Lonchura striata: one gene and its partners. The protein of the gene in region 4 purifies or fractionates together with the protein of the main gene of each other region. This does not show direct contact. Links are inferred from orthologs where the notes say so. Each region holds a gene or a part of one and is shown on either strand. Other genes may lie near its edges. The genes, in order: SAP130, ING2, MTA2 and SIN3A.

Region 1 (6,868 bases), on a different chromosome or scaffold from region 4:
ACTGAAATTGCTGCACATCCTTAGCCAGACTAATTCAAGTCCATGTAAAGGTACTTTACAAAACCCTGAGAGGTTTAGTAATGAGTGTTCTGACAAACTATTTTCAAACCAACAGGGCTGGCTCTGCAGTCAAGTTAGGGAAAAAATTTCAAAACCATTATCTACACAGACTCCATCAAATTTTGTCACTCCTCGTTCACTAAGAACAGTGAAAACCCAGGAACTTTTCACAAGTTTCTTCTGATCTCCTCCCAGAGAAACTGAAGAACACTGCAAAAATGAATCCCAGCAGTTTCTCTACAGTAGAAATTCTCCATGTGACACTGACACAGCAGGAGCTTTTAAAGAAAGACCCAGATTTTGGGTATGGCTCTGTCATCACAGCCTGGCTGTGCTATTTCAGTTGGATGATCCCAACACATCAGCAGCTTTATAAAGAGAAAGTGATAACCAAGCCTGAAACTTAGTGGTCCAAGCAGAACTGATCCAACAAGCAGCAGCACTGAACAGGGAAACCTGCTCTCTTTACATTCCCTCCTGCTGCAAAAGCCCACCTCAGCTGTACTTGTATTGATCTGACCATGCAGTGAGATGGAACAGAAAAGCCACCAAAAAACCAGACCTGTTGCCCACTGATAGTTGCCACAGGGATTGTTGGAGCCTGTGGTATGCTGCTCTCCATGGTCACAGTCACTTGCCCAGGGACCTTTGTGGGAGCTGAGAGAGTGGAGGGTGGAGCAGGAGCAATGGGCCGGCTGGGCATGGTGGGCTTCAAGGGAGGCTACAAGAAATGGAAAAACAGAAACATTGGCAATTCAAAGGAGAGCTCAGTGTTGAAGCAGCAATCATTTTGTGGGGTCAAAGCCTGAGGAGAAAGTTTATGCAAGCATGGCTAAATATTTGAAGAGGAAAAACACTGAACATTTCGTTATTCCAAACAAAGAAAGGGCATATTTTGTCCTGGAAATATGCAGGTTCTGGCATGAATCATCAATGGACTCTGTCAGGGCTATGGTATTGTGCTACAGACACTGGATATAAACTTTATATCCTGAAGAGACACTGGAAGACTTCAAAAACGGATTGAAATCACTGCTTTCCTCAAAGATAAACAAAATACACTCCCCTCAAAAATAATGCTAAAATACTAGCAAGTCCTCAGTGTATCTTCTGAATCAGCCAAAACCACAAGGCACTGCACAGTTAGCAGAAGCATGCAAAGAAAGCTTTAGAATAAAAAGCAGGGAAGGTTTTGGTGCAATTTACTTTTTCCCAACACCGACTCATACAGATTATATTTTTTTCCCCAATGAATCCTCTCATTACCTTCATAAGTCCATCTGAAAAAGAAAGTGGCACAGCTGGAGTCAAATGTGCTGGTGGTGCTGTCACTGTCACTGGAGCACCAGACTGGACAGGGTGGTGCTGTGCCAGCATCTGGACCTGTGGGTAGGGCCGGACCACCACGGGCTCTTGCTTCTCCTCCCGAGGCTGGATGGAGCCACTGGGGCCCATGTGCTCCCTGGGAGCAACTTCTGGCTCACGACTGGATTCGTCACTCACTAGGGAGAAACAGGAAAAAAAGGTAAGAATCGTTACAAAGTTTGCTTTGGTCACCCACTAGGTCAGAGATGAGACACTGGAAATACCGGAATTTAAGAAGTTCACTCTTAGAATTAAACATATTCCAGTGATGGAAAAACTGGGCACTCTGGCACTGCTTCTGTCTGTTCCCCTGAGAACTGATGGGTTGGGCAATGTTGGGGAACCTGGGGTCAACTCTGAGAAGTCCAACTAAACACCTTCTTTAAACACAGATGGACCAACTTTTCTTTCAAGTGAAAAGTAATTATCTAAGTAACTGCCATTAAGTCCCAGATCAAACAGCATGAAAAACTACACATTTAATGCAGTATGTATCTGAATAGCGAGCTGAAAACAAGTATAAAACCTCCTGAAAATGAAGCTGCCCCCCCAGTCACTTCTGGAAACCTGTCATCGTGGCAGGGACAGCAGGAGCTGGGACCACAGTTCGCACCCCATTTCCAGCTCCATGAGATGCTCCCACGTCCGCTTGTGCTAAGAACACAGAGGGCCGAGCGGAGCGGGACAGGCACCTGCGCACAGGCCCCGGGCAGGGATGCCAAGGCGCATCCCGGCTCTGCCGGCGCTGTCCCGAGCCGCAGCCGCCCTGCTGCCCCCGGTGCTCTCCCCACGCGGAACCTCGGCACTTCCAGCCACGGCCGCGGGGCCGCCTCGCTCCTCCCGCCCGCGGCGCAAAGCGCGACGGACGGGGCGGGGTACAGGGATCGCTGCCCGCCCCCGGAGGCGGCAGCCGCGGGGCCGGGATCGCGCTTACCTGTGGCGGCGGGGGCGATAATCCCGGCCGAGCCGCTGGTGGGGATGGGCGGCGGCGCTGGTCCCAGGGCGGCGGGAGGCGCGCCCGACCGGGGGAACTGCTGCGAGCTCATGTCACCTGCGGGCGGCAGCGCGGCCGTTAGCCCGGCCCGGCTCCCTCCCTCCGTCCCTCCCGCGCTCCGGGCGCGGCCCCGCGGCCCCACCCACCCCGGCTCGCGCCCGGCCCGGCCAATGGCGGCGGGGCGGCGCCGGCCAATCAGCGCCCGCCCTGCCCCGCCCCGCCCCGCCGCGCCGCCGCAGGGCCCGGATGTGCCCGGCAGCGCGACGGCCCCGCCGCCTCGGGCCAGGCCGCGCCGCCCTGCTCTGCCGCCGTCCCTTCGCGATGCCCCCTCCGCCGCGCTTCCGCCGGCAGGAGGCTCGCTCCACCCCCCCTCCCCGCCGCCGTCGCGCTCTGAAGCGGCGGACGCCGCCCGCTACCCGCAGCCTTTCCGCAAAGCCACCCCCGATCCGCAGATCTGGGCGATGCCGTGCGCCGGCCGCGGCAGTACCTGTGCCCGGGGCGGTGCCGTGCGCCGGTCCCTGAGGCCGGTCGCCCCGCGTCGCCGCCGCTGCCGAGCGCCGCTTCCGCCGCTGCAGCCGCCCGCACCCGATTGGCCCCGGCCAGCCCCGCCTACCCGGGGCTGCCGCGTTTCATTGGCTGCCGAGCCCGCCCCGCGGGGCCGCCGGGAGATGTAGTCCGTGCTGGGATGGTGGCGGGCGCAGATCTCGCGAGGCGCGGGAGGGGCGGTGCTGCTGCCGAGCGCGCCATTGGCCGCGCGCCGCCAGGTCTCCGGGGAGACGCGGGGTGGGCGGGACAGGCCGCGGTCAGCCCGGGCCGCGCCCGCCAGAACGGGGCGCACCGACCCGCCCCTGCCCCCGCCGACCCCCTGCAGCCGCCACCCCGAGCTCCGCACCCCGCTGTTGCTCTCCACACCCGGCCAAACCACCCCTTCCCCGCTAGAGTCCCCAACACCCAGTCTGGGCAGTGACAAGAAGACACGGCGGGAAGGCGCTGGGGAGGGTACGGCGGGAGTCAGCATCCCAAAAACATCCCAAAACCTCCGTAATTCGGGCGGTCCCCCATAACTCCCTGAGGGGCCCGCCCAAAGTGCTCCTCCCAGTCCTGGGAAGGGACACAAGGACATGTGGGTGCTCTGGGGATCCCTGGGGCTTAGCACTCCAAACCCCCTAAAATTCAGGGGGTGGGGGGTGGATTCCCCGAAGTCCCCAACCCTCATCCTGGTTAGGGACAAGGGGATAGGGGCGGGGCACCCTACCCTCCCCTATCACTGGGATAGACGGAAAAATATAAGTAATAATAATAACCACCCCCCCCCCCCCCCCCCAAACCTGGGAGATGACGCACATCACAGCCCTGAGAGCCCACAGTGCCGGGCGTTTGTTTACAGACACATCAGAACACCACCAGTCTTCAAGATAGTATTCTTCTCATGTTTCGAGGCTTAGAAATGAACTCAGCCAGACACCTGCCACTTTCAGAGTTTTAATAATGATTTAAAACTAAACCAGGAGTAAACCTTTGAAATGTTAGGAACACATGTAAGTAATGCCTAGGTGTGCCCCGCAAAGCTTAGCGCTTGTGTTGTGAACAGGAACACAAACAGTGTTTGTGCTGGCGCCGCTGGGGAAGCTGTGGCCAGCAGCAGCACTTTGTCGCGGCGCGATGTCACTCTCAGGACACCCGCCTGGGCTGCGGCTCAGCTCCCATCCTGAGACATTCCCTTCCCCTCTGCCTGCCGGGATTTACAGCTTCCTTCTGGCTTGCCGCGTCCCGCCCGGGACCGCAGTGCTGCTGCTGCACCTCCGTGTCCGGCGGGGGCGGCCGGGCACGGAGCCCGCACAGAGCCGGCCCCTCCGGCATGAACAGGGTAGAGAAGGTGTGAAAGGTGCAGAGAAGATAAATGAAGAACGACTGGCTTTAACCTGCCGTATGCTGCTCTCAGTTCCCCCCACGTCTCTACGCTTTAATAAACGAGCAGTTGTTTGCGCAGGGTGTCCTCCCGGCAGCACAGGCTGGCGACTGCTCAGGGCCAGTCAATGCCACGCGAAACCCACAGGTCGTGCCTTCGCTCCGGGCGCTGCCTCGCTCGCCGGCGGCCGCGGGCCGGGCTGCGGGCGGCCCGGCCCCGCCGTCACTGCGCGGCGCCGCCGGCCGGCGGCGGAAGCGGAAGCGGCGCGGGCGGCGGGAGCCGGGCGGCGCGCGGCCGCTCGCAGGTGCGAACCGCGGCCGCGGGGCCCTGAGGGAGCGGCGGCGCGGCGGGCGCGGGGGCGGCGGGCGGCCGGGGCGAGCCGCGCTGCGGGGCCGGCACCGGCGGCGTCCCTCCAGCGGCCCCCGCGGGGATCGGTTGGGCGGTCAGCGGGAGCGGGGAGCGGCGGAGGCTGCGTTTGATGCCCGGCACCCTCAGCGCCGTGACGGGCCGGGTGTCGTGTGTGCTTTGAGCCCTGGCTGCTCGGCGCCTCGGTGGCGCGGGGCAGCGCAGCGGGCGCCTCTGCGGGACCGACCCGAGCGCTCGGTGCCCGCTGGTTCCCGTGATCTCTGCGTGCGCGGTGCCCGTCCCGGTGCCCCGCGCTGTGCCTGCAGCAGGACCTGCCCCTCGCTCCCGGCGGCAGCGCGCTTTGCTTTGCCCTTCACCCGCTTGCCACCACACCGGCCTGGCAGAGGGCACTGGCTGTAAACGTGGGCTGGTTTATTCCTCTCCCCAAGGCTGGATGTGCGAGTTGCCCGGAGTATTTTAAACGGAATAATTGGAAGAAAAATAAGGAGGAAAAATATTTACACTGCTTTGCGGTGTCGTAATTCAGATTGGGTTTTGTTGTGTTACCTGGCACAAAGCTGGATCGCCTTGTGTCAATTTTGTTCATTCCCGTGCCTGTTACCTCTTTTTCCATGGTCTGTTTTTCTTTGAGAGATCGGTCATTCCTTTGTTTTATGGCTGTTATTGTTGAGGATTTGTAGATATTTCTAAACTGCAGGTTTTCAGTTGGTTAAACTAGCAGGTGTCAGATGTGTCCTTTGGTTTCTTTCCTATTTCATACAGAAAAAGGCTTTTAATTCAGTCTTTCCCGGAGCAGGAAAGCAGGCACAAGAGAGCAGCACTGGGGGGTTTAGCCATGAGAGTGCTGTTGGGTATATTCATTTACCTATTCCAAGCTCCAGTGTGTGATTTGCAGAGAATAAGAAGGACCCATCTCTGAGAGGAGCTGTGAATTGGTTTTTCGTGTCAGTTGGCAGAAGCCAATGTTTCACTCTACAAATATTGGCTGAGCTTCCCCCTCTGCACACAGGGAGTGATGGCTGTGCCCGTTCTGTGATGCCATCTGTCTGCTTCCCAGGTGTGACATAAAACAAATGTCCTGTGCAGCTGACCAAGCTGCTCTTTGAGGATCACAGCAGGAATTTCTGGTTTTATTCCCAGAGAAAGAATAATGTCTGAGTTATTGCTGGGAAACATTTGGCTGGAGGGGTATAAACTTTTAAAGAGAGAAGGATTTGGTTTGTTTTGTATATATACAGGTAGCTTAGAGCTACAGATATATAACCCCGTCCTTTATATTGAGATGGTAATAAAAAAGAGACAGAAGTTAGATCCTGGCAGGTTGTTGGGTGTGGTATATGTAGAATTGAATTAGGATGTTTTTTTAGGTGCAGGGGGAACATGGAAAATAAGTTTACTAGGAAAAAAAAGATAAAGAACTCAATGAGCACTTGAGTGCATATTGGGGGCATAATAAATATAAATATACTATAGTCAGAGAGGGGCAAAAAAAGCTTGAACCATTGGAGACTGTAATGGAAAGCCAACAGAAGAATTCAGGTCTTCCATAAGTTTAGGAGTTGTGGGCAAGGAAATTCCACTCAGCTTTTTTTTGGTGTGTAGGCCAGAGAATACAAGGCTTGAAAATACACAAAATGAAGGATAATAAAGAAATGGAATGATTTTTTTCTACTTTCTCAGTAGGTTGTATAATTTTAGTCTGTTTGCATTATTTCATTCATATTTCAGCTTTTAAATTTGGTGGTGCTTGGTGCAGCCAGGAAATACTTGTTTCTTCATTCCCCAAAAAACCTAAAGGACTGACTGGGGAACCTCACCCTTGCCTGCATTAGTCCACAGCTGCTGGATCTGTGCTAACACACAGTGTGATTTTACCTCCCACAAAATGAACAGTGGGTTGTTTTCTCACCCAGTCTGAAATGTGTGCAGTTTGTAATACTCTTAAAGCAAGATGTATGTGGTGTTGGCATCTTGGAACAAAAGCATAAACATTATTTGAAAGCATAAACACAGAGGAAGCTGGAATTGATTTAGGTTTAATTGCATCTCAGGAGTAAGTTTGTAAATTCCTTGCCTCTCCAAGTTTTTGATTTTGTAAGCCCAGGTGAGAGTGTGATCATCTCATTAATGCATTGCATTAAATGCAGTATTAAAATCTTAACATACCTCTCAGT
Region 2 (6,868 bases), on a different chromosome or scaffold from region 4:
ACTGAAGTTACATAATAGCAAATTTACAATCAGAATGAAAATCAACTTACACCCCTCAAAATACGTTGCCGATTATCAAAACAAATTACAGCAAGCTACATTTTAAATCAAGGTTGAACTTTTCAGAATAGGTGACCTTCTCTTTAGTGCATCATAGGATATTTTTAAGCAACTAGTAAATGAGTGGCTCACAGTTTGATTCTCAAGCTTTCCCTCTTCCAAGTCACGCAAAATAACTGCATGTGTTGCTGTGAATCTTTCACTAAATTTAGTTCTAAGCAGCAAGTTTAATGAACCCGAATATGAGATCAGTAAATGTCTTATAAATCAGTCTTAGTCTTGTACTCTGCTGTTCTACATTGCTGTATTTTAAAATTACTTTTTCCAAGCCAAATGTTACACTAGATCTACACATTAAGAAGAAAAAGGGAAGGAAATAATTAGAAGAGCTGACAGTGGAACTTGATGTACAGTGTTAGGTACAGTATTGGTTCAATCAGAACTTAGGATTTTATTTGAACAGGTAAGGGAGTTTATAAATGGTATTAAACTATTTACTTCTAAAACAGAAGTTATGTAGTACAATCTACCTCTTCCTAAAGACCTGCATTTAAATAATTTGCTTTCATTTTAAAAGAACTTGTCTGCACTATTGTAAATAATTCAAGCTTGTCATCTCAGCATCATTCCTAGTGATATTTTTTTTTCCTGCTGCTATCTTGGAACAGTAGCTTAAGCATGACCAACTGCTTTTTACTATAAATTCTGAAACCTGTATGACAACAGGAGCCAACTGAATTTTGTTCTGTTCCAGACCTTCTCTAAGGTAAGATAAAAATCACTTCTCTAGCCTGTCCAGTAACTCAGCCTGTGTTTTCTGTATTTTAATATCAGCATTCCAGCTACCATTTAAACCATAAGTTTTGTTTCCCTGTACCTTCAGCTGCATCCCCTGCCTGTTGCCCTGACAAGAGAAATTAAATTTTTAAAAATCTTACTCTCAGCTCCTGCGAAGCATGGAGTAGGGTACTTTGTATGCTGTTGAACAAGTAAGGTATAACCAGAGCACAATATTGTACAACCACACTATCTCCCACCCAGACTTCTTTTTTTGGAGGCAGAAGTGTAGGTACAGATAGATTAGATAGATTTCCTGTACTGGGAATGCATTACCCAGAACCGTTCACAAACAATAGCTGTTTGCTCATTCATACTGTGACAGAGAACAACATTCACCCTACGTCGGTTATTGCCTGGATGCAGCCTGTGAAGATATGCTGAACTTTACACGGATCAACATCCACTAAAGAGAGCAAAGAAGTTTTGGACTGACAGAGATTACCAAACTTTACCAAACTTCTTGTGAATCCCCAAAGATTAGACAAGGCATTCATACACCCTAATAAACAACCCTGAAACCTCTGTAAAAAAAAAAAAAAATCCCCACAAAAAAAAACTCCAACCCAAACCAGGGCCAAGTGTATATTACAGATAATCTGATGAAGTTTGGTGGAGCTAATAAAAGCTAAAATTATTTGTTTTCTAAGTACAAGACTGACTTTTTCCCTCATCCACACACCATCTCTACCTTTTAAATTAGCCGAAATAATATGGCATTGCTTTTACATTTTCAGGCTTGGGTCTAAATATTTTTATCCCATTTTTAGGGTTTTGAAGATTTTTTGTTTCTGTTTTTTTTTTAAACAGTTGAAGGCTTTGGTTAAAATTAGCAACATTTTTTTTATGGCCCAGTATTGGTGGCTGGATAAATACACATTAATAAGGAGTCTAAAGAAAATATTTTATCTATTAAAGTCTGATGATTGCTGGCAAGCCACCATGGATCAGGAGGTAAAGAGCCAGCCTTGACTAGGAATTCAAAATGCTGCAGGCAAATCTATGCCCTTTAAACTTGAAATCCCAGGCAACTTACAAAAGCCTGTTCTTATGTGTTTTCTCGGGTAATTAGAAAGATAATTGAAAGAATCCCTTCACAACAGCTGCCTCCTGAGGTGGCCCCTCAGCGTCTAAGAGGCCTCGACGGTGCCCGTGGTCCCCTCCTGCCCACGCTGGAGGAGGGAGATGCGGCTCCAGTGCCGACTCCACGGGATCAAATTCCTGCCTCGCGGCAGGGCCGGCTGGCACTGCCGGGCACCGCTGTGCCCCGCCGGGGGGGCGCACGCTCTTTAATCGGCACCGAACTGGCCTCCCGAAGGAGCCGTGCCTCCGGAGGAGGTTTAGGGCAACTTCCCGCTCCGCAGCCTCCCTCCACGACCCAAGTGCAGGCTGCCGGCGCTTCGCGTATCCCCGCCCCGCCGTGCGTGCGGTCTGCCGTGCGACACCGCCCCCCGGCCCGCGCGGCGGGAGGAGCCGCGGGGAGGCCGATTCCGCACCCCACCTCCAGCGGCGCCGCCGGCTCGGCAGCGGGGCTGCCCGGCGGGGCGGAAGCGACCCCAAACGGCGGAGCCGGGGCCTAGCGCCGGGCGGCGCGGCCCCGCCGTGGGGCGGCCTCCCCCGGCACCGACCGGGCGCCGGCAGCCCCGCGCCCCCGCAGGCTTAGCCCCGCGGGGCCCCGGCAGGGTTTCACCCCGGGCCCGGCTCCTCGGCGCCGGGCGCATGTGCGGCGGGTGGAGGCCGTCCCTTTCCCCTCTCTCCCCGCCGCCCGGTGCCCCGCGGCGGCGCCCACCTTGGCACTGCGTGTCCATCTCCCGGAGCAGCGAGGCGTTGCGCTGGATGTCCAGCGGCAGAGACTCCACGCACTCCAGGTAGTCCTGCACGTAGAGCGAGAGCAGCCGGGCCCGCTCCCCGCCCGGCGCCGCCGGCCCCGCCACCAGCTGTGGCCCCGCCAGCATCATCCCCCCGCGCCAGCAGCACATCCGCCGCCGCCGCCGCGCCGCCCGCACCGGGCGCGGGGTCCTTGCGGCGGCCCCGCTCCCTTCTCCGTCTTCTTCTTTTCCTCCTCCTGCTGCCGCCGCCCCGTTGCCCTCGGGCGGCCGCGCCCGGGGGGCGGTGAGCGCTGGCCGGGCCGGGCGGGTGCGGGTGCGGCCGCCCCTCCGCGGGGTCCCGCGGGTCGCGCGCCCCTTCCCGCGGTGCCGCCGCCGGAGCAAAACCCCCGCTCGGCGCCCCCGCCCCTACGCGCAGCGCGCATGCGCGAGGCCCTGCCCTTATAAGGCGCGGCTGGCGGCGCTGCCAGGGGTTCGCATTCTCCCGCCTTCCCAGGCGCGCGCTCCCATTGGCCTGGCGCGCGGCGGGGGCGCGCGGGGGGCGGGGCCTGCCATAAAGGCGCCGCCGCCGCTTCCGCGCCCCGGCGGAGATCCCCGCGGGGCAGCGCGGAAAGTTCCTGCCCGCAGGAAGAGCCACCTGACTTATCTTTAAAGAAGAGCAAAGAGGGAAGCTGAGTGACATTTTTATCCTGAGAAATCATTGCAAGAGTATTTTAAATAAGGCATCAACGAGCTTTGGCCATTAAAAGCCACTCACCACACAGCACGACACAATCTCAAAAATTTGACAGAGTATCCATGTCTTTCCCATTCCCGTTGCAGAATTTCTATTACATGTTTGCCACAACAATTATACTAGGAAACAAAAGTTAAATTACACTTTTTGACTATATACATATAAATATATATATATTTATACTATAAATGTATACATCTATACTATAAAATGTTGATATTTCATCTCCACTTCTCTTTGGGATATTTTTCAGGTCTTTAGTACATGAATAATTATTGGTAAGCATCAGGAAAAGAAAATTAATTTTGTCAAATCTTGAAACCTCCTGCAGAGACCTGTATATTTTGCATAGTTTCATTTATATTTTAGTCATCCAAAAAGATATCCAGGGAAAATGCATATGGTAAATGCAGCAAAAAACCAACCAAACAAAGAAAAATCAGATTATTGAATTCAGAAATAAAATTGAAAATAAGAAGTAAATTCAAATCCCCGAACTCCCTTCTGTCTTACATTCCTACCTCTAGTTGAGTAGCCAGCACTAAAAGAGTACCCATACTTATCTTGTAGATAGCATTTCAGGATGGCATGATCTGGAGTAGTGGTGAAACAGCAGCACAGGTTGCACAGAGAGGTTGCATAATCTCCATTCTTGGATATTTTTCAAGCTCCCTGGATAGGGCCTGACACAACCTGATTTGGCTGTGAAGCTGGCTCTGCTTTGGTGGCCCCCCAAGGATCCCATCCAGACTCCTTTTTCCTGGAATTCTGTCACTGTGTGGTCTACGCCAAATAGCTCCATGGCTACTCATACAGGAAAATTAGTGTCTCACATGATGGCAGTCTGCAAGTGTTATTTTCTTAAGACCCTAGTTCACAGAACTATTTAAACATTCCTACTTCCAAGTCAAGCAGCCACTAGGCAAGGGGGTTTTCCATGGCAGGGATTTGCATATGTCTGTGTCCAAGCTGTTGAGTAATTGTAGCTGCAATCAGTCAGCTTTGCCCAAGTCAGCAATGTGTTGGCAAGGTCATAAAAATGAATGAAAACAAAGTTGTAGACAGTACTTTCAAAACATCCTTCCCTACGCTGATGTCACTCTGGCCAAAAAAACAGGAAGTCTGTAATTCTGTGTTCATGTTCTTAAGAGGGCACCTTCATTTTAAAATTAACAGTTTTAATTTACAGTGTAACACCTCTAGTAACACCTCTAAAACCCGCTGCTTTTTTTTTTTTTTTTTTTTTTTTTTTTTTTTTTCACTCTTACAGCTCAGGTTAACGAAGCCTCATATAGAAAGTGGCAATAACTTGGTTACCTTGGCTTCCATTGGCACTTGGCTTCCATTGGCACTTTACAGCATTCATTGCTGTCACTTCTGAGTAACTGAAGTAACTGAAGACTGAATTTTTTTAATAATATTAACAAATAACACTTACTGTACAGGCAAAAAGCACTACCTGTATGCCAGTGAAAAGGACCTGGATTAATATAATTGATACAATATTATTGAGAAAAGTGTTGGCTGTTTTGAGGGGTTGTGTTTCTGCTTTTAGTAAGTTTGAATGGGTGTAACATTCTGCCATCTCATGAAGAAATAAAGCTATGAAATAGGAGATTCCCCTACAGAGCACTAAAAATAAAGCAAAAATGTTTATTCAAAATTAACATGTTATTTAAAATTAAATGCTAATTACTACTAAGTATGAATTTAAACCAAACATTTTGGCATAACTTTTTTTTCCTGACAAGAAACTGTGTATGCACTGTCAGTAAAGAAAGAGCCAAGAAAATAATTAATAATATTTTTTATGAACAAGCAGGTGGTTTCTGTGCTAAAAGCTTGCTGTTTGTCACTATGGGGGAATCAGTATCTAAGGTACGGCAGAGAATAGCTAATGACTTCTGAATTTAAGTGTTGTCTGCTGTTTCAAACACTAAAATAAAAATTTAAATTTTGGGGAACCATAAGAACACAACAATGGCACTGGACCAGATTTCCCTAGGAAAAAAGAAGCCTTAGCTTGCTGCATATTTGAAGCCTCAGAGTAAAGGAAAGCAAGAATGGCAGATTGAATTCTCCACTTTGCTCATGCCTCAAAATTGCTAGGAGCAAGCACAGGAGAATTCTGATGCATTGGGCTCAAGTTTGCAGGTTGATAGACATCTCTGAGAAACAACTATGTCCTTTCTTTCACTGTCTGTATGTGAGAAGAATCTGCAGATAGGAACTTGCATGGTAGAGCAAAACCTTGCTAATTGTAGAGGTGGACAGGCAGAACAACCATATATTTCCACCAACCCTCTCTGCTAAGTGTGAAACTGTCAGCTTGAGGTTGATATACACAGGGATGTGATATTAGTGTGTATTGCATCAAACATATCTCAGTAGCTGTCCACCAAGGGTAAGTAACAGAGAGCTCCTATATTCAGTTTATTTATATTTATTTATAAAATAAATAAATCCCAGTAAAAGCTAAAATAATCTAAATGAATCTAAACTAATCCCAGTTTTCAGGGAGAATAGATACCAACAGTTTTTATTTCTTTATAAATTACCAGTATAGGTTTTTAAAGTTCCAACCAGAGTATTCCCCTTCTTTTTGTGAAAGATGATCTCATTATGTTACAGATTTTACTAAGATAAAATTATTTCCAGAAATTTAATCCAACTTTTATTTTCCCCAATTGAAGTTTTGCCTTTCATCTTTCATAATCCTCATTTTACATCCTCAAAATGCAGATGATTCCTGTCCTGTTTCACATAATAATACTACTGTATTTGACCAGGTAAGCTATTCTCAAAAGCTTCTCTAACATCAGGTCATCCAAAAAAGATACTTCCCTGTAATGCCAGACATTGCTTTCTGTTTTCCTTAAGTACTAGCTTCTCACAGGTGCTATGGGGCATGCTTGGCTGGCATAGGAACTGCAGCTTCTTAGAGGAAGGGGACACTGCTGATCAGCTGAGGGGCAGCATCTGGCCACTGCAATGAGAGCACCACATGGATCATTCCCTGTCATTTACAACTTGGATCTGTCCACTTGTGTCTCAAGTAACACTTCCCTTTGTCTCCAGGAAATTGCATTTAGAAAGTAACTCCTCTTCCTCAGCTACTGTTGCAAAGCAGAAATGATCGGTGGATTTGGTTTCCAGCTCTAGAACCAGTCACCCTGTGAAAAAACCTTGGGAGGTGTGCAGATGATGTTCAGGGAAGCCAAGTTAGAAATGGTAACAAGGTAATCTTACTGAATTAGTAACCATCTTTCTTGTCTTACCTCACCCTGAACCCTGATTCTTTTTCATTCTAGTAAGTGGAAGAATCCACATGAATTTAAGGGAAAATAACCAGGACCTTTTTTTGCATAATAGAAGATTTTTTGTGTGTTATTGCCTGAGGTACCTATTG
Region 3 (7,766 bases), on a different chromosome or scaffold from region 4:
TATAAAAAAATCTTTGGATGTCCCAACAGGACATGAGGAGTTCAGAAGAAGTTTTGGGGTCTCCCAGTGAGAAATGAGGAGGTTCTAGAGAGGTTTGGGGGTCTCCCAGTGGGAACTGAGGGTTCTGAGGGAGGTTTTGGGGTGCCCAGGGGGCTGGGGTCCCCCCTCACCAGGGTGATGTCCCGGGAGGCTGCGGCCGCGCTCATGTGCAGGCTGGGCTGGCGGATGGAGCTGCTGCAGTCCAGCGCCCGGGCAAACGTCCCCACGGCCCTGGGGGGGACATGGGGGGGTCAGCAGGGTCCCCCCAATCCCCCTGACCCCCCACCGACCCCCCCCGATCCCCCCTCACCGAGCCACCACCAGGAACTGGTCGATCTGCCGGTCCGTCAGGGGGTTGTCGGGGTCCCACACCTTCATCTCCATCTTCTGTTGGTTCCGGTTGTCCGACTCACCTGGGGGAGGTTTGGGGGGGCTGTCAGGATGACCCCCCCCCCATCCTGCACCCCCCAGAGCCCCCCCGAACCCCCCAAACCTTCGGCCAGACGCTCGGGGATCTCAGCTTGGTACTTGCAGCCCACCCTGATCTCGCCCTGGTCTGCCAGCAGCGTTTTCTGCACGGGGTCGAAGACCAGCGAGTAGAAGAAGCAATCCTGTGGGGAGGGGGCACATTGGGGGGGCTCAGCAGGGTGGGGAGACCCCCAAAATCCCCCCCCAGACCCATTTTGGGGCACACAGAACTCACCTCCTTCTCCAGGTACTGCCCCAGGATGTCGGTCTCGTTCAGCAGCGTCACGCTGCACTTCCCCCTGTAGGGGAAATTTGGGGAGAGGGTCACCCCAAAACCCCTCCCCACGCAGGGGAAGCCCCCCCAGAGGGTTTTCCCACCCCCCCAGAGCCGTTTCTGCCCCCGGTACCGGATGTGGGTGGCCGGGAGGGACTCGAACTGGCGAGACAGGAACAGCTCCCGGTGCTTGAGCTGGTGCCGCTGCTGCTCCGTCATCGGCGGCTGCTTCGACTCCTCCTCAAACTCGCCTGGGGGGGCCGCGGGGGGGTCACACCGGGGTGTTCCTCCCCCAAAATCCAGCTGGGAGGGCCCATTGTTCTCCCAAAACCCCCTCTGGGCTTTTGGCAACAGCCCCGAAGAGGGGGAGGGGAGGGAGGGGGAGGGGCCGTGGGAGGGGAGAGACCCCCCCCAGGAAGGGCAGGACCCCCCCAGTTTGATGGTTCAAAGGGGTCAGTCCTTTACCTGTAATTCCCCGCCCCAAAATTGGCAAAACCCCCCCAAAATTCAGCCCAAGAGAGGTGGAGAGAGACCGAGCAGCTCCAACCCCCCCTCAAATTTGGGGCGCCCCTTTGGGAGAGGTCACAGACCCCTCTGCAGCACCCCTAAATTACCCCAATAATGTCAAACCAGTTCTCCCCAAATTCTGGGAGCACCCCATTGTGATATGAGCCACAGACCGCCCTATAAACCCCCTAAAAACCCCTCAAATCCCCCACCCACCGGCATTACCCTTGGCCTGTCCTTTAAGGCTGCCCCCCAAATCCCCAAAACCTCCCCAAAACCCCCCAAAAGCCCCCCACTCACGGGCATTGCTGTCAGCCAGGCTGTTGAGGCTGCTGGAGATGTCACGCCGTCGGAACAGACAAACCACCTTGGCCTCCACGTTGCCATTGGCCGTCTGGGGGGGCACAGGGGGTCAGTGGGGTCCCCTGGGCTTGGGGACCCCCTCCCCAGGCTTGGAGACCCCCCTGAGGAACAGGGCAGGGGTCTCACCTTGTTGAGCTCCTCGATGCGCCGCACCAGGTAGGGGTTGCTGGAGGAGTTCTCGAAGTAGACGTAATCTGGGGAAAAATAGGGAGCAAAAATTGGGGGGTCACGAGGGCAGCCCCACCCCCCAAAAATCCTTTTTCTCAAACTTGTCAGGATTGTTCTTAGTTCCACCCAAATCCCCAAAATCCAGGGGGTTTTTGCAGCCAGATGTTCCCCTCATGGGAACGGGGTTTGTTACCCCACAGGACCCCCCCTCATTTCCCCCCCTCAGCCCCCCACTACAGACCAGAGGTCCCCCCCTGGCACAGACCTTCCCTCACAAATGAGGGTGGAGGACACCCCCCAAAAAAATCTCGGGTTCCCTTCTCATCAGAGACCACCCCCCTTTTTTCTTTAGATTTTTTTTTTTTTTTTTTTTTTGGGGGGGGGAGCCGTCTCCCACCTCCACGCCTCAGAATTTGGGGTCCCAAAGGAGCACACCCCTTAAAGAACCCTCCCCATTTCTGGCACCTCCTTTTCCTCACAGACTCCCAAGTTCCCTCACGAACACCCCAAATCCCCTCAGGGACCTCCTTAACCCCCTCACGGGACCCTTTCCTCTTCAGGACCCCCCCCGCCCCTAAATCCTCTCCCTCCAAATTCCCGCACGGGACCTCCCCCCCCACCGCCTATTGCCTCACAAGACACCCCCGCTGTTTCCGGGACCCCCAAATTTCCTCACAAGACCCTCTCCCCCTTTCCGGAACCCCCAAATCCCCTCACTGACCACCCCCCACTCCCCTCACGCTTGCCCCTTTCCAGGACCCCTCACGGACCCCCCCCCAATTCCCCTCACGACCCTTCCCGCGCCTCACGGAACCCCCAAATCCCCTCACAGACAACCCCCCCCGCCCTTTTCCCACTCCCCTCACGCCTCCCCCTTACCTCACGGACCCCCCCCCCCCCCAAAATCCCCTCACGGACCCCCCCAAACCCCCCCCCACACTCCGCTTTCCGGGACCCCCAAATCCCCTCAGGGCCCCCCCCAGAGCCCCTCCTGGAGGTCCCTGCCCGCGGCCCCCGGCCCGCTCACCGCCGACGCGGTACATGTTGGCCGCCATGGCCGCTCGCTCGGCCGCGCTACCCCCGGGCCCGGCCCCGGCCGCGCTTCATCGCCGCTCCCGCCGCCTCCGCGCCGGCACGGCCGGTTCGGAGCCCTTCGGGCACCTCCGGAGACGTTCGGCAACCTCCGGCAAGACCTCTCGGGCACCTCCGGAGAGGGTTTGGGCAACTCCGGAGAGACTCGGGTATTGCCGGATGCGTTCGGGCACCTCCGGCACGGGTTCGGCGCCGCCTCGGGCGCTTCCGGAGAGACCTCGGCGCTTTTCGGGAAAGCCTCGGCTTGGCCTCGGCTCTCTCCGGCACTCCTCGCCTCAACCTCGGCTCTTTCCGTAACGCGCTCGGCGAGTTCCGCCAGAACCGGAAAGGCGCCGAGGGCGGGCACGGAGGAAGAACCCGCGGCGCTTCCGGGAAGCGGCGGCGATCCCGGAGGAAACGGCGGGGTCCTACCCTGACCCCAAGGCTTTTATTGACGCCTCTCACAGTGCAGCGCGAAAACGCGGCGGGGGGGGAAAGCTTTCCACCAAACCCCGAGCCGCTCTTTGGTCCCAGGAAGGGGGGAAAGGGGGAAGAGGAAGCAGCGAGGAGGAGGAGGAGGAGGAAGGCGCGGGGCTCAGGCGCTGTCCCCGGGCAGCACCCGCCACTGGAAGACGCTGGTGTCCTTCCCGCCCAGCGACACCAGGTGTCCGTCGTCGTGCGTGAAGCGCACGTTGGTCACGTGGCTGCCGTGCCCGCCGTACACGTGACTGGGAGCCTGTGAGGGAGGGGGCGACACGTGACTGCGGGGTCACGTGGATACAGCCCCCCCCCCCCCCCCGCAAACGGGGGGGGACCCCCGAAATTGGGGTCTGACCCCCCCCCCCATACCCCTAAATTGGGGTGTGGGACCCCCCACCCCGATCCCCTCAAACTGGGGTCTGGGACCCTCCCGAGCCCAAAAATTTGGGGTCTGGAACCACCCCACGACCCCTCAAATTGGGGTCTGGACCCCCCCCCATACCCCTAAATTGGGGTGTGGGACCCCCCACCCCGATCCCCTCAAATTGGGGTCTGGGACCCTCCCGAGCCCAAAAATTTGGGGTCTGGAACCACCCCACGACCCCTCACATTGGGGTCTGGACCCCCCCCATACCCCTAAATTGGGGTGTGGGACCCCCACCCCTCACCCCGATCCCCTCATCCCCTCAAATTGGGGTCTGGGACCCTCCCGAGCCCAAAAATTTGGGGTCTGGAACCACCCCCACAACCCCTCAAATTGGGGTCTGGACCCCCCCCCCATACCCCTAAATTGGGGTGTGGGACCCCCCAAAACACCCAGTGGGTTTGGAGCCCCCAAATTTGGGGTATGGGACCTTCCTGAGCCCAAAAATTTGTGGTCTGGACCCCCCCCAGCCTCTCAAATTGGGGTCTGGGACTCTCCCGAGCCCAAAAATCTGGGATTTGGACCCCCCCCCAAATCCCCCCAGAACAGCCAGTCCAGGGGTTGGGATCGCCAACCCACCGGCAGTGAGTCTGGACCCTCCTGACCCCCCAAACTGGGGTCTGGGACCCCCAAACTGGACTCTGGGACCCTTCCCCAGCCCCCCCGAAACCCCCCCAGAGCCCGGTGCCCACCTTGGCCCGGGCACAGGGGTACTGGAACAGGTGAACCTTGCAGAAGTCGTCGGCCACGGCCACCACGCGCTCGTGGTGCGAGCGGCACAGCGAGTTGATGTCGGTGCCGTCCGAGCCGTCCGGCCACACCCCTGCGCCGATGTCGGGGGTCAGGGGGACCCCAAAAACCCCCAAATACCCCTCTAGAAACACGCAAAGCTCTCGGGGAGCTGGGGACCCCAAAAACATCCACAAATACCCCGCTAGAAACACCACAAGGGCTTGGGGAGCTGGGCAACCCAAAAAAAACCCCCCAAATATCCCGTTAGAAGTACCCAAAGGGCTCAGGGAACTGGGGGACCCCAAAAAAAAAAAAACCATTAGAACCTTCTGAAGCTCTCAGGGAGCTGGGGGACTCCAAAAAAACCCCAAATACCCTGTCAGAAACACCCAAAGCTCTCGGGGAACTGGGGATCACCCCAAAACAACCCCAAATACTCTGCCAGAACCACCCCGAGGGTTCGGAGAGCTGGGGGACCCTAAAAGAAACCCAAATACTCCTGACAGCACCCCCTGAACCACTTGGGGAGATGGGGAACCCCCCCAAACCCCCCCTGAGACCCCCCGAGCCCCCAGACCCACCGAAGACGTGGAAGCCCAGCACGCAGGTGTAGGAGGCCCATTCCCGGTCCCGGCTCTCGAAGCGGTTCCGCAGCAATTTGCAGCCCCCGGCCACGTCCCCTGGAGGGGGGAGAGACCCCCAAAATCTGGGCTGGGGGGGGCTTGGAGAGTTCACCCCGAAATTTGGGGTGGGGGGTAGTGAAAGGCACCCAAAATTTGGGAGGAGGAGGAGGGAGGGAAAAGGGAAAGCCCCCCCAAAAGCTGGGGAGGGGAAGGGAAAAGAGACCCCCAAAATCTGGGGAGGGAAAATGACACCCCCCCAAAAAGAACCAGGGGAGGGGGACAGTGAGACCCCAAAGTCTGGGGGGTCCCGGTGGGGTCAGGGGGTTCCCCCCAGCTTTGGAGGTCCTGGCAGGGGCAGAAGGGTCCTGGAAAGATCTGGAAGGGCCAGGAAGGTTCAGGAAGGTCCTGGCAGGGCCAGGGGGTTCCCCCCAGCTCTGGGGGTCCCGGCAGGGTCAGGAGGGTCCCGGCAGGGTCATGGGGGTCTCGTCAGCCCCAGGGGGAGCCCCCCAAGCCCCCAGACTCACAGTAGAGGATCTCATAATCCCCTGAGTTGGACATGATGAACCGCCCGTCCTTGGACCAGTCCAGGTGGGTGATGAAACTCGAGTGACCCTGGGGGCAGCGGGGGGTGGGGGGGGTCGCTGGGGGTCCGGGGGGGTTTGGGGACCCCCCCCCAGCCCCCGCCAGCCCCCCAGCTCACGGTGCAGCGGCCGAAGCGGCTGAACTTGCGGCCGCCCTCGGCCACGCTGTAGATGTAGATGAAATTGTCGTGGGAGCCGATGGCCAGGAAGGTCCCGTCTGCAACGGGGGGGACGCGGGTTTGGGGGGGACACGGGGTTTGGGGGGGACACGGGGTTTGGGGGGGCATGGGCTTTGGGGGGGACACGGGGTTTGGGGGGGACACGGGGTTTGGGGGGACACGGGGTTTGGGGGGCATGGGGTTTGGGGGGACACGGGGTTTGGGGGGGACACGGGGTTTGGGGGGGACACGGGGTTGGGGGGGACACGGGGTTTGGGGGGACACGGGGTTTGGGGGGACACGGGGTTTGGGGGGGCAGGGGGTTTGGGGGGGACACAGGGTTTGGGGGGGCTTGGGGGGGACACGGGTTTGGGGGGACACAGGGTTTGGGGGGATTTGGGGGGACACGGGTTTGGGGGGAACATGGATTTGGGGGAGTTTGGGGGGACACGGATTTGGGGGGTTTGGGGGAACACAAGTCTGGGGGGGCCCCATGACCTGGGAGGGTTTGGGGGGGGGTTCCACACACTGGGGGGGGATTTGGGATAGTTTGGGGACAGGGAGGGATCAGGGACAGTTTGGGGACATTCTGGGGACAGGGAGGGATCAGGGACAGGCCAGAGACAGTTTTAGGACAATTTTGGGACAGGGAGGGGTCAGGGACAATCTGGGGACAGTCTGGGGACAGTTTGGGATCAGGGACAGGCCAAGGACAGTTTGGGGACAGTTTGGGCTGGCAGGGGACGCGGGGCTCACCCGGTGAGAAGCGAACCACCGAGAGCTGCTCGTTCCCGTCCGAGCCCCCGGCCAGGAGCTGCCGCGTGCCCGTGTCCAGCACCAGCCACCTGCGGGACGGGGACACGGGGACATGGGGGGACACGGGACATGGGGGGACACGGGACATGGGACACGGGGGGACACGGGGACATGGGGGGGACAGGGGGACATGGGGGGACACGGGACATGGGGGCGACAGGGGGACATGGGGGGACACGGGGACATGGGGGGGACATGGGACATGGGGGGACACGGGGACATGGGGGGGACACGGGACATGGGGGGACACGGGGGGACACGGGGACATGGGGGGGACACGGGGACATGGGGGGACACGGGGACATGGGGGGGACATGGGGGGACACGGGGACATGGGGGGGACACGGGGACATGGGGGGGACACGGGACATGGGGGGACACGGGGACATGGGGGGGACAGGGGGACATGGGGGGACACAGGGGGACACGGGGACATGGGGGGACACGGGGACATGGGGGGACACGGGGACATGGGGGGGACAGGGGGACATGGGGGGACACAGGGGGACACGGGGACATGGGGGGACACAGGACAGGGGGGGACACGGGGACATGGGGGTGACAGGGGGACATGGGGGGGACACGGGGACATGGGGGGGGACACGGGGACATGGGGGGACACGGGGACATGGGGGTGACAGGGGGACCATGGGCACTGTTCCCCTGTGTCCCCATCTCCCCCCGTGTCCCCTTGTCCCCCCATGTCCTTGTGTCCTTCCATGTCCCCCCATGTCCCCCCGTGTCCCCCTGTGTCCCCTCCTGTCCCCATGTCCCCCCGTGTCCCCCGGTGTCCCCCCGTGTCCCCCGGTGTCCCGGTCACTCACCGCCCGCTCAGCAGCCCCACGGCCACCACGTGTCCCCCGGGGTGGAAGTCGGCGCAGAGCCCGGTGTCCTGGGGGTGGGGAGGGGTCACGGGGGGTCCCCGGGACCCCCCCAGAGCCCCAAACCGGGGCTGCCGCCACCCCCCGCACCCCAAACCACCCCCAGCCCCAATTCGGGGGTCCCCAGCCCGGGTGTGCTCCTCGTCCCTTGTCCCCAGAGCACCCCCTGACCCCACAAACC
Region 4 (7,596 bases):
AGTCCAGCTTCCCTGGGGCATTTCCATCCTGGGGACTTGCGCTGTATTTGCAAGCTGGTTGACCTGAGACATGTCCTCAGGACTTCCCACAACCATCAGACTTGGGAGAAGTGCCCAGGTGCCTCTAGGAGATCTGTGGGGGGCTGAGCACCACCACTCCAGTTCTCACAAGGGGCAGTGATGGCACCGTTTGGTGTCTGACACCATCCCCATCACCGTCTCTAGGTACCTTCTGCGCGCTGGACATCTGCCTGTCGCAGCTGCAGGACGTGGGCACCCTGAACATCTACCAGACAGTGCTGCGCATGCGCACCCAGCGCGCCTTCAGCATCCAGACCCCCGAGCAGTATTACTTCTGCTACACCGCCATCCTCGAGCACGCCCAGCGCGAGGGCCTGCTGCTCACCAACCACAGCCGGGCCGCCCAGGACAAGAGCTCGCCGGGGCACTGAGACCCTCCGCCTCCCTGCAGACGCCGCTGCCCATCCTCGGGGGCTGCCCGTGTCGCCTCGGTGCCCGCCGGGACTCAGCAGAGCCGTGGGGGCGGCGGTGCCGGAGCACCTCAGCTGTCAGCACTGCTATGGAACTGTGCCTTATTCAACCCAAACGGTGGCTGCCACTTGCCGGCATGGGAAGGGGCTCTCACTCCTCCCCGTCGTGTTTTGGTTGGGTTTGGATGGTTGGGGAGGTGGTTTGTCTTCTCTTGTTTTTTTGTTTTGGTTTTGGTTTTTTTGTTGTTGTCGGGACCACCTAAGATGTACCTAGAGAGGGGCTTTGCAAAGTCCTAGGAAATGTATTCCCAGTCCTGGGGCTGAGGAAGAGGCACGTGCTTCGGTCTCACCTGAGGCTCCATCTGTGTGTCTGTATGTATGTGTGTATATAATATACCCCCGCTGTGACCCCCTGCCTATTATATAGATACATATATACGACCTCCCCTTTAGCAGCTCCCAAGGGTCCCCGCTGTCCTGCCACCTCACTGCTGTGACCTCTGGAGCGGTGAGTTTGGTCCTGGCTCTGTTTTGTCTTCCCCCTTCTCCTTATTTCCCCTCATGGGCAACGTTGGGACCCAGTACCCACTCCTGTGCCCATCCCGCCGGAGGCACAAGGATACTTGATAGTGTCCCCCGTTTCTTTGTCTCATCTTCCCCATGGAGAGGTAGCAGCTGTGCTCCTGGGAAGATCTGGAAGATTGGGTTGCCGGGGGGTGCCGAGCTGGCAGGCATCCCCTGCCCCTTGGGTGCCGCTGAGGGAGTCACTAGGTACGAGGTGACGGGGCCGTGGGGACCGACCGGCTCTCCAGGTTGCCCGGCTTTCCCAAGCTGCCGCTGGGAACCCGCGGGCCCAGCCCTGCGTTGAGTCATGGGCTGGGAAAGCGCTGAGCAAGAGTAAACCCCAAACCCTGGAGAGGCAGCGAGCCTCTGCCCCGGCCCCAACCCCTGCCACTGCCAGGGCCTCCCCAACTTTATACTGTAATAAGCTCTTTGAATGTGTATATTCTTATTTTTTTATAATCTTGGGGGAGGAGGGCACAGGGTTTGGGAGGTTTGGTTTTGTTTTGTTTTCTTTAGGGATTTTTTTTTGTTTGTTTTTTTGGGGTTTTTTTTGGGGGGGGGGGGTTGGCTTTTTTTTTTTGGTTTTTTTTGTATTTAACATTAACTTGATCCAAGCCGGAGCCAGAAGTATTTGTAAATGTTCCTATTTTGCTCTCAGAGAGACCTTTTTGTTGTTGTTACTTTTTTGGGAGTTGTTTTGTTTTTATTTGTATTGATATATAAATATACCACCAGTGACCAGTCCTCTTTGCTGTTGTGGGGGCATTGGGCAGGACAGAAGGAGGGAATTCAGGGTTTTGCACAGGCTGTGATCTCTAAATTCAGCTGGCCCCATCCCTGGCTACCTGTGAACTTTGAGGAGCACAGGGCTGTGCTTAGGGCTTATTCTGGCCTGGGTGAGGCTGAGACAGAGATAACCAGGCTGCAGGAAGCTTTCCTGGGCGGGCCGGATAGTGTCAGGAGGGAAGGCAGCACAATGAGCTGGTGTACCCAGGGGCGACACAAGCCACCCTGCTCCAAGCTCCTGCCTCTTCCCAGGGCCTTGACAAGCCTTAGGACATCAGTCTCTGTCTGGCCATGGTATCTGCCTGCTGCTGCCTTTTGCTGCAGGATTTGGGGGTGCAGACATCGCCTCTGTGCTTCTGAATCCCCTCTGAGCAGGCAAATAGGGCACAAAAATTAGGGGGAACTCCTGGGCTGTCAGGCAGCACCAGTGCCTTCAGGTGCAAGCAATGCCAGTCCCAGAGCAGCAGGCGCAGCCTGAGGCTTAGGGATGAGGGAATAAAAAAGGCAGCTTGTGCAAATGAAGCCCTAGAGCCAGCGAGAGAGCTCATGCCCCAGAGCAGGGCAGCTGGCGGGTGTGAAGAGCCGCACCTGTGTTTGTTCAGCTGGAGCCTAAAAACGTGAGGGATGCCAGTGTCTTTCTAGGACTAGCACAGGGAGAAGCTTTCCCCTGTGCTCTGGGGGTGGACTGGCTTGGCTGTGCCAAACTGAGGTCAGACACAAGCACTGCAAGGCTGGAAAAGAACCAGAGGCAGCAGGGAATCCGTCTGGAAGGGCTGCACAGGAGTGCACGAGAGGTGGGTGTTGGGAGCAGTCCTGGAGCTGTGCACATCCTGCCTGCAGAGTGGTTCTGGTTCAGCTGCCATGTCCCATCCTTCCAGGTACTTTTTTCCACCCAGCTCTCTCCTGGAGCAGCATCAGCCCAGGCAGTTTGCTCTGCTCCTGTGGCTCAGGCTGCCCCAGAGTTTCCCTCCAGGCACCTATTGCAGGGTGGCTCCTCTAAGAGAGCTCTCATCCTCTGAAGGAAGGCTCCTGTGGCCCTACCTCCTCACTGCCAAACTTTTTCACCCAGCTGGGCTTTCTTCTCGGCACACATGCAGGAGGGGAGTGTTAGCAGTTTATTGTTAATCCTGTGCTGTCAGCAGCAGCTCTCTGTAGCTCAGCGGGGCTTTTGGCAATGTGTTGGGTCCAGATCTGAAAGCTGCAGGTGATGCCAAGTGTCCTACGTGGCTCCACGAATGTGCCCAGCTCATGTCTCTCTTCCACTGGCTGTGAAATCCCAACGAAGCCCGCTCTGAGCACACGGTCAAGGTGGTTGTGCATTCTAGCTCAATTCCACGTGATGTGGGCACAGAGAAGCAAAATGTTTCCAAGATTCACGTCCTGGGTGTCGAGTAGGAATAACCAGAGGAGAGGGAGGGAGATAACCAGCGCTGCCTCTGAATGGGAACAGCTCGGATATGCTGCTCCCTTTGAGGAGTGATGAAGATCCCATCTGTGCTGGAGGCGGAGGAAAAGGTTGTAAACCTTTTCCATGGGAAAACAACCCAAACACACCCTCCCTTACTATTTCCAGGGCTGCCTTTCTTCTCAAAGCCAGCATTTTCAGTCCGCTTGCACAACATGATGTTTTGTTCCATCCATTCTGTCCATGCCAGCAGGTCCTACTCAGCAGTAGCAATAAGGATTTCTCTGGAAATGGTCACATCACACAGACAGCCAAAAGTTTCTGGAAAGAAAAACTTTGTATTGTTTGGAAAGCGGTGGGAAAAATGGGCTGTTGAGTGCAAGCAGCCTGATGCCTGGAGGATCTCCCCTTCCCTGAAGTGGCCCAGAGATAGGGATCAGCCACCACGGGCAAAAGTAACAGCACAGGCAATTCCAGGAACAAAATCCCAAGTTTCGCTGGAGTTTGGAAACAGGGATTTAAAGGCATTGCAGGGCAATCCTAAAGCGGCGCTGCCATCGCTGTGCCCACCTGTCTCATTTGGCTTTCTTGGCTGCATGCACGCCACCTCGCTAATGACGATTACTTTAGTGCTTGTAATTTTGCGCCCTGGGAGTTTGGAAAGAGCCTAGCTCCAGAGCTCTTAATTTCCCAGCCCTTCTGCTTCCTTGCCTCCGATTTCCAAGGTTCAGGCTCGATCTCCAGTGGCACTGCAGCCCGTGCAGGCTCAGAGCCCGGTGTCGAGAGCCCTTCCAGGGGTTAATCCGAGCTGCAGCTCCCAGCTGCGGAGAGCTCCTCTGCTGTGCCGGCTTGTCCCGGCAGCAGCCCTCTGCCTGCTCCTGCAACGCTCTCCCAGCCTGAGAGAGGGAAGAACAGCTGGAAAGAAGAACAAAAAACAACTAGATTTAGACCTTCTCTGAGTGAAGAAGGTGCTCGAAACACACACTTGAATAGAAGCGTGCAATATGTGTGTTTGTATTTCACCCTTTCCCGAGCACGCTCCAGACGCCCAGATGAGCACTGACGGGCGGCCAGGCCTGGCTCCCGCAGCCTCCGTCTGGGGAAGCCGGCAACCCCCTCCGCAACTTTGCAAAGGGAGAGAAACACGATGACTGACGGCACTGACCCCCACCTCCATCTCGCGTTCCAGCGGAGGGGAACGCCGGCTGCCGCCGCGGGGGCACCGGCCGGCTCGGCTCCCCCCGCCCTCCGCCGAGCGGCCTTTCCCTCACACCCCTGCCCGCGGCCCCCCTCCCGCCGTGGGCGGCGCGGCCGTGACGATCGGCGCCGCGGGGCCAATCCGCCCCGGGGGGAGTTCCCCCTCCATTCAGGGCTGCTCGCCTGCGCGCTGAGGGTATGTAACAGCTGCTTCCCCCACACGCACTTTCCCAGTTTCGCCCCCCTTCACGGGGATCGCTTCCCGAGCGCCGGGCCGGCGGCCGGGCGGGAACCTGAGGGAAAGGCGGCGGGGGGGGTGGAGGGGAGAGAAGCGCGCGCGCGCTGCGGATCCCGCCGGCGGGAAGCGCGCGACGGCGGCGGGAGCGGGCGGGGGGGGAGGCGAGTGACTGAGTGTGTGTGCGCGGGGGGAGGGCGGGGGCCATTGCCGCGGTGGCCACGCCCCCTTCCTGGCACGCCATTGGCTGCAGCCGCTGAGGGCGCCGCCCCCCGCGGCGCGCACTGCCCACGGTCCCCCCCCTCCTCCTCCTCGGTGCGTGCGTGCGTGAGTGTGAGCGTGTGCGAGTGTGCGGGGCGTGTGCGGGAGCCCGTGTGTGCGTGTGCCGTGTGCTCCCCGCCCGCACGTGTAACCGACCCGCCCCACGTGGGGCGCCGCCATCCCGGAAGTGAAGGGGTCGGGGACAAAAGGCAGCGCCGCGCCGCCCCCGGGACCGAGCCCCGCCGCCAAGTCCCCCCCGCCACTCCCGCCGCCGAAGCGGTTGGCGGCGGGGCCCGGGGCCGGTGGGGGGGCTGACGGGGGCAGCCGCTGGCGCGGGCCGCGGCCGCGATGTAAACATTCCACAAAAGGGCTCCCCAGAGAGGGGGGCGTGGCCTCGCCGGTGGCGGGCAGGGCCAATTCGCCGCGTGGGTGGGCTTCTCGGCGTGACGGCGGCGCGGCCCCGCTCGCCAATTGGCCGGCGCTCCGGTGTCGCAGCCAATAGGGCGGCGCGGGAGGCGGGACGGGGGCGGGGCGCGCTGCTTATACGGACATTTTTCTTCGGCGGTCGCTCCCCCCCCTCCTCTCCTCCCTCCCTTCCTCTCCACATCCCCTTCCTGGGGGCCGCGGCCAATAGGGGAGGGCCTGGTGGGCGGGGCCAGCGCTCCCATTGGCCGAGAGAGTGACGGGCGCGCGTCCCAGCCAACGGGCGCTCGGGGCTCCCCCCCTGCGCGAGGAGGGGCGGGATTTCCCGGGGAACAGAGAAGCGGGCAGCGCTCCGCCGCGGCGGCCGACAGACGGTTACTCCATCTTACCCCCCCCGCCGAGCCCCCCGCCCCCGCCGGGGCACCGGCGCCGCCCCCGCCCGCCCCCCCCCTCCGGGAGGAGGGGCGCGGGGACCCCCCCTTCTCACTGCGCCGGGGACAGCCCGCCCCCGCCGCCCGCCCGGGAGGTGCCCGCCACCCCCGGACCCTGAGGGAGACGCGGCCGCTGCCAGGAGCAGCTTCGAGGTAAGGAAGAGCGGGGCGGCGGGGACGGGAGGCCGCCGGGCCCGGGGCCGGCCCCCTCCGGCGATCCGTAGGGGGCGGGGCCCGGCGCCGGTGCGGCGGCGGCGCGGGGTTGGGGGGGGGCCGGTCGGTGCCCGCGGCGCGGCTCCCCGGGGAGCCCCGGCCCGCGCGGGCGGCCGCGCGTCCTCCCGCCCCGCCCCGCCCCGCCGGGGTGTCCCGGCCCCGGCATGGCGGGAGCGGCGGGCGGAGCGTGCGGCGGCCGCTGGGCGCGCTGCGAGCCGGGCGCCGCCTCCTCCCCCCGCCCCTCCGCCCGCCCTCCGCCCGGTGCCGCTCCCGGGCTGCGGCGGGACCGCCCCCGGCAGCGCTCGCCCGCATCGCACGGCCCCGGTACCGGCCGCACCGCGCGCCGGAGCCGCCGCCGGGGCTCCCGCCCGCCCGGGGGGGCGTTCCGAGAGCCGGCGGGGGGGGCGCGGTGCTCCCGGTCCCGGGGCCCGCCCAACTTCCCGCGGAGTTGCCGTGAGAGCGCCGTGCCGGGCCGCCCCCCCGCCGCCGTCCCGCTCCGGCACGGCCGCGGGCTCCCCCGTGGCTTCTCGCCGCTCTCCGGCTCCGTAGCGCAGCTCTCCGGAAGGACCTGTTGGAGCGACGCGTGGATGCAGGGAAACCCGAGAGCTCCTCGTGCACTCATTAATTTTCCTGCGATTTTTATAGCGAGCCGGATCCTTCTGCTCGTCCTCCCGTGCTGTGAACTTGGCAGACGCTTACGCTGGTATTTCATCCCTTTTTAAAAATTCTTCAGGCTCGTGTACATCCCTAGAAACTACTTTAAGGTTTGTAGGGTTTTTTTTGCTAGCAGGACCTAGTGGAGTTCAGGTAGCTTTAAAAGTAGGATGGTGTTTATGTCCGCTTAACTAAATCCTGGTTTTTCTGCCTTTTCCTGGCCTGGGTTCACGTTATTTGTGTGAATAGCACATGTGCTTAGATAGAAGTTACATCCCTGAAGAAACCTATTTATTTGGACCACTGAAATGGGGCAAAATTAGTTGTGTCAGCTCTATTTTAAACAAATTATCAAAGGCATCTCCAGCTGTGCGTGGATTTTCAGTCTCCCACGCTGTCTAGAGGAATCTAAACCTGGTCTATGTGTTAAAGTGTAGCTTAAAGATGACATAACACCTCATGTTTCTCTTTAACTTGCCGCTTTTAGTTGTGCTAAAAGGTGCAGGGTCAGTAAACAAGTGGGAAATGCCCAACTTAATTCAGTACAGCTGTATCTTTACTGGCCATTTTTCACTCCCAACTTGTAATTATTTTTCAAAATACACTTTCAGAAAAGTAAACATTATTATATAAGATTACATTACTATGTAGGATTAACTATATAGTGCAGTATTTTAAATTAAAATGGCATTTTATTTTAATATACTAATTTTAAAGCATCTGTAAGACTTCCTTCATCACATAAAGTGCCTTGGCAGCCTGGTGTCAGCCTGTGCTGGATCTCCAAGGACAGAAAAACACTTTTTAGGGTGTTTGTTTTTTTTTTTCCCTGCTGAGGTGAAGTTAGCAGTTTTTCACATGGGTACGCTCTTTACAAAAGGAAATCGTGCTTTTCCTCCCCCCAAACTGTCTTATCCTCATCCCTCCCACCTTCTG

What was found.
Region 1: the proteins of SIN3A (region 4) and SAP130 purify together in Homo sapiens (affinity purification with mass spectrometry; 4 studies listed by BioGRID, with this or other methods). This does not show direct contact. The link is inferred for Lonchura striata from reciprocal best matches to the Homo sapiens genes SIN3A and SAP130.
Region 2: the proteins of SIN3A (region 4) and ING2 purify together in Homo sapiens (affinity purification with mass spectrometry; 5 studies listed by BioGRID and IntAct, counting the BioPlex papers as one, with this or other methods). This does not show direct contact. The link is inferred for Lonchura striata from reciprocal best matches to the Homo sapiens genes SIN3A and ING2.
Region 3: the proteins of SIN3A (region 4) and MTA2 purify together in Homo sapiens (affinity purification with mass spectrometry; 4 studies listed by BioGRID, with this or other methods). This does not show direct contact. The link is inferred for Lonchura striata from reciprocal best matches to the Homo sapiens genes SIN3A and MTA2.

Annotation. Positions count from the first base shown.
Region 1 is NC_134612.1:4,326,729-4,333,596, reverse strand, and holds the start of SAP130 (histone deacetylase complex subunit SAP130), read right to left. Parts: upstream 3,002-6,868; 5' UTR 2,907-3,001; intron 2,477-2,906; 5' UTR 2,472-2,476; coding exon 2,360-2,471; intron 1,563-2,359; coding exon 1,327-1,562; intron 782-1,326; coding exon 623-781; intron 1-622. UniProt on the Homo sapiens protein: Acts as a transcriptional repressor. May function in the assembly and/or enzymatic activity of the mSin3A corepressor complex or in mediating interactions between the complex and other regulatory complexes.
Region 2 is NC_134606.1:32,346,746-32,353,613, forward strand, and holds the start of ING2 (inhibitor of growth protein 2), read right to left. Parts: upstream 3,012-6,868; 5' UTR 2,877-3,011; coding exon 2,687-2,876; intron 1-2,686. UniProt on the Homo sapiens protein: Seems to be involved in p53/TP53 activation and p53/TP53-dependent apoptotic pathways, probably by enhancing acetylation of p53/TP53. Component of a mSin3A-like corepressor complex, which is probably involved in deacetylation of nucleosomal histones.
Region 3 is NC_134638.1:417,193-424,958, forward strand, and holds the start of MTA2 (metastasis-associated protein MTA2), read right to left. Parts: upstream 3,013-7,766; 5' UTR 2,875-3,012; coding exon 2,847-2,874; intron 1,846-2,846; coding exon 1,778-1,845; intron 1,683-1,777; coding exon 1,589-1,682; intron 1,033-1,588; coding exon 915-1,032; intron 807-914; coding exon 743-806; intron 651-742; coding exon 533-650; intron 453-532; coding exon 350-452; intron 271-349; coding exon 171-270; intron 1-170. UniProt on the Homo sapiens protein: May function as a transcriptional coregulator. Acts as a component of the histone deacetylase NuRD complex which participates in the remodeling of chromatin.
Region 4 is NC_134613.1:5,631,463-5,639,058, forward strand, and holds the start of SIN3A (paired amphipathic helix protein Sin3a), read left to right. Parts: upstream 1-4,595; 5' UTR 4,596-4,639; intron 4,640-5,869; exon of another isoform or gene 5,870-5,946; intron 5,947-6,472; exon of another isoform or gene 6,473-6,709; intron 6,710-7,596. Other genes in the region: PTPN9 (tyrosine-protein phosphatase non-receptor type 9), read left to right, coding at 226-452. UniProt on the Homo sapiens protein: Acts as a transcriptional repressor. Corepressor for REST. Interacts with MXI1 to repress MYC responsive genes and antagonize MYC oncogenic activities. Also interacts with MXD1-MAX heterodimers to repress transcription by tethering SIN3A to DNA.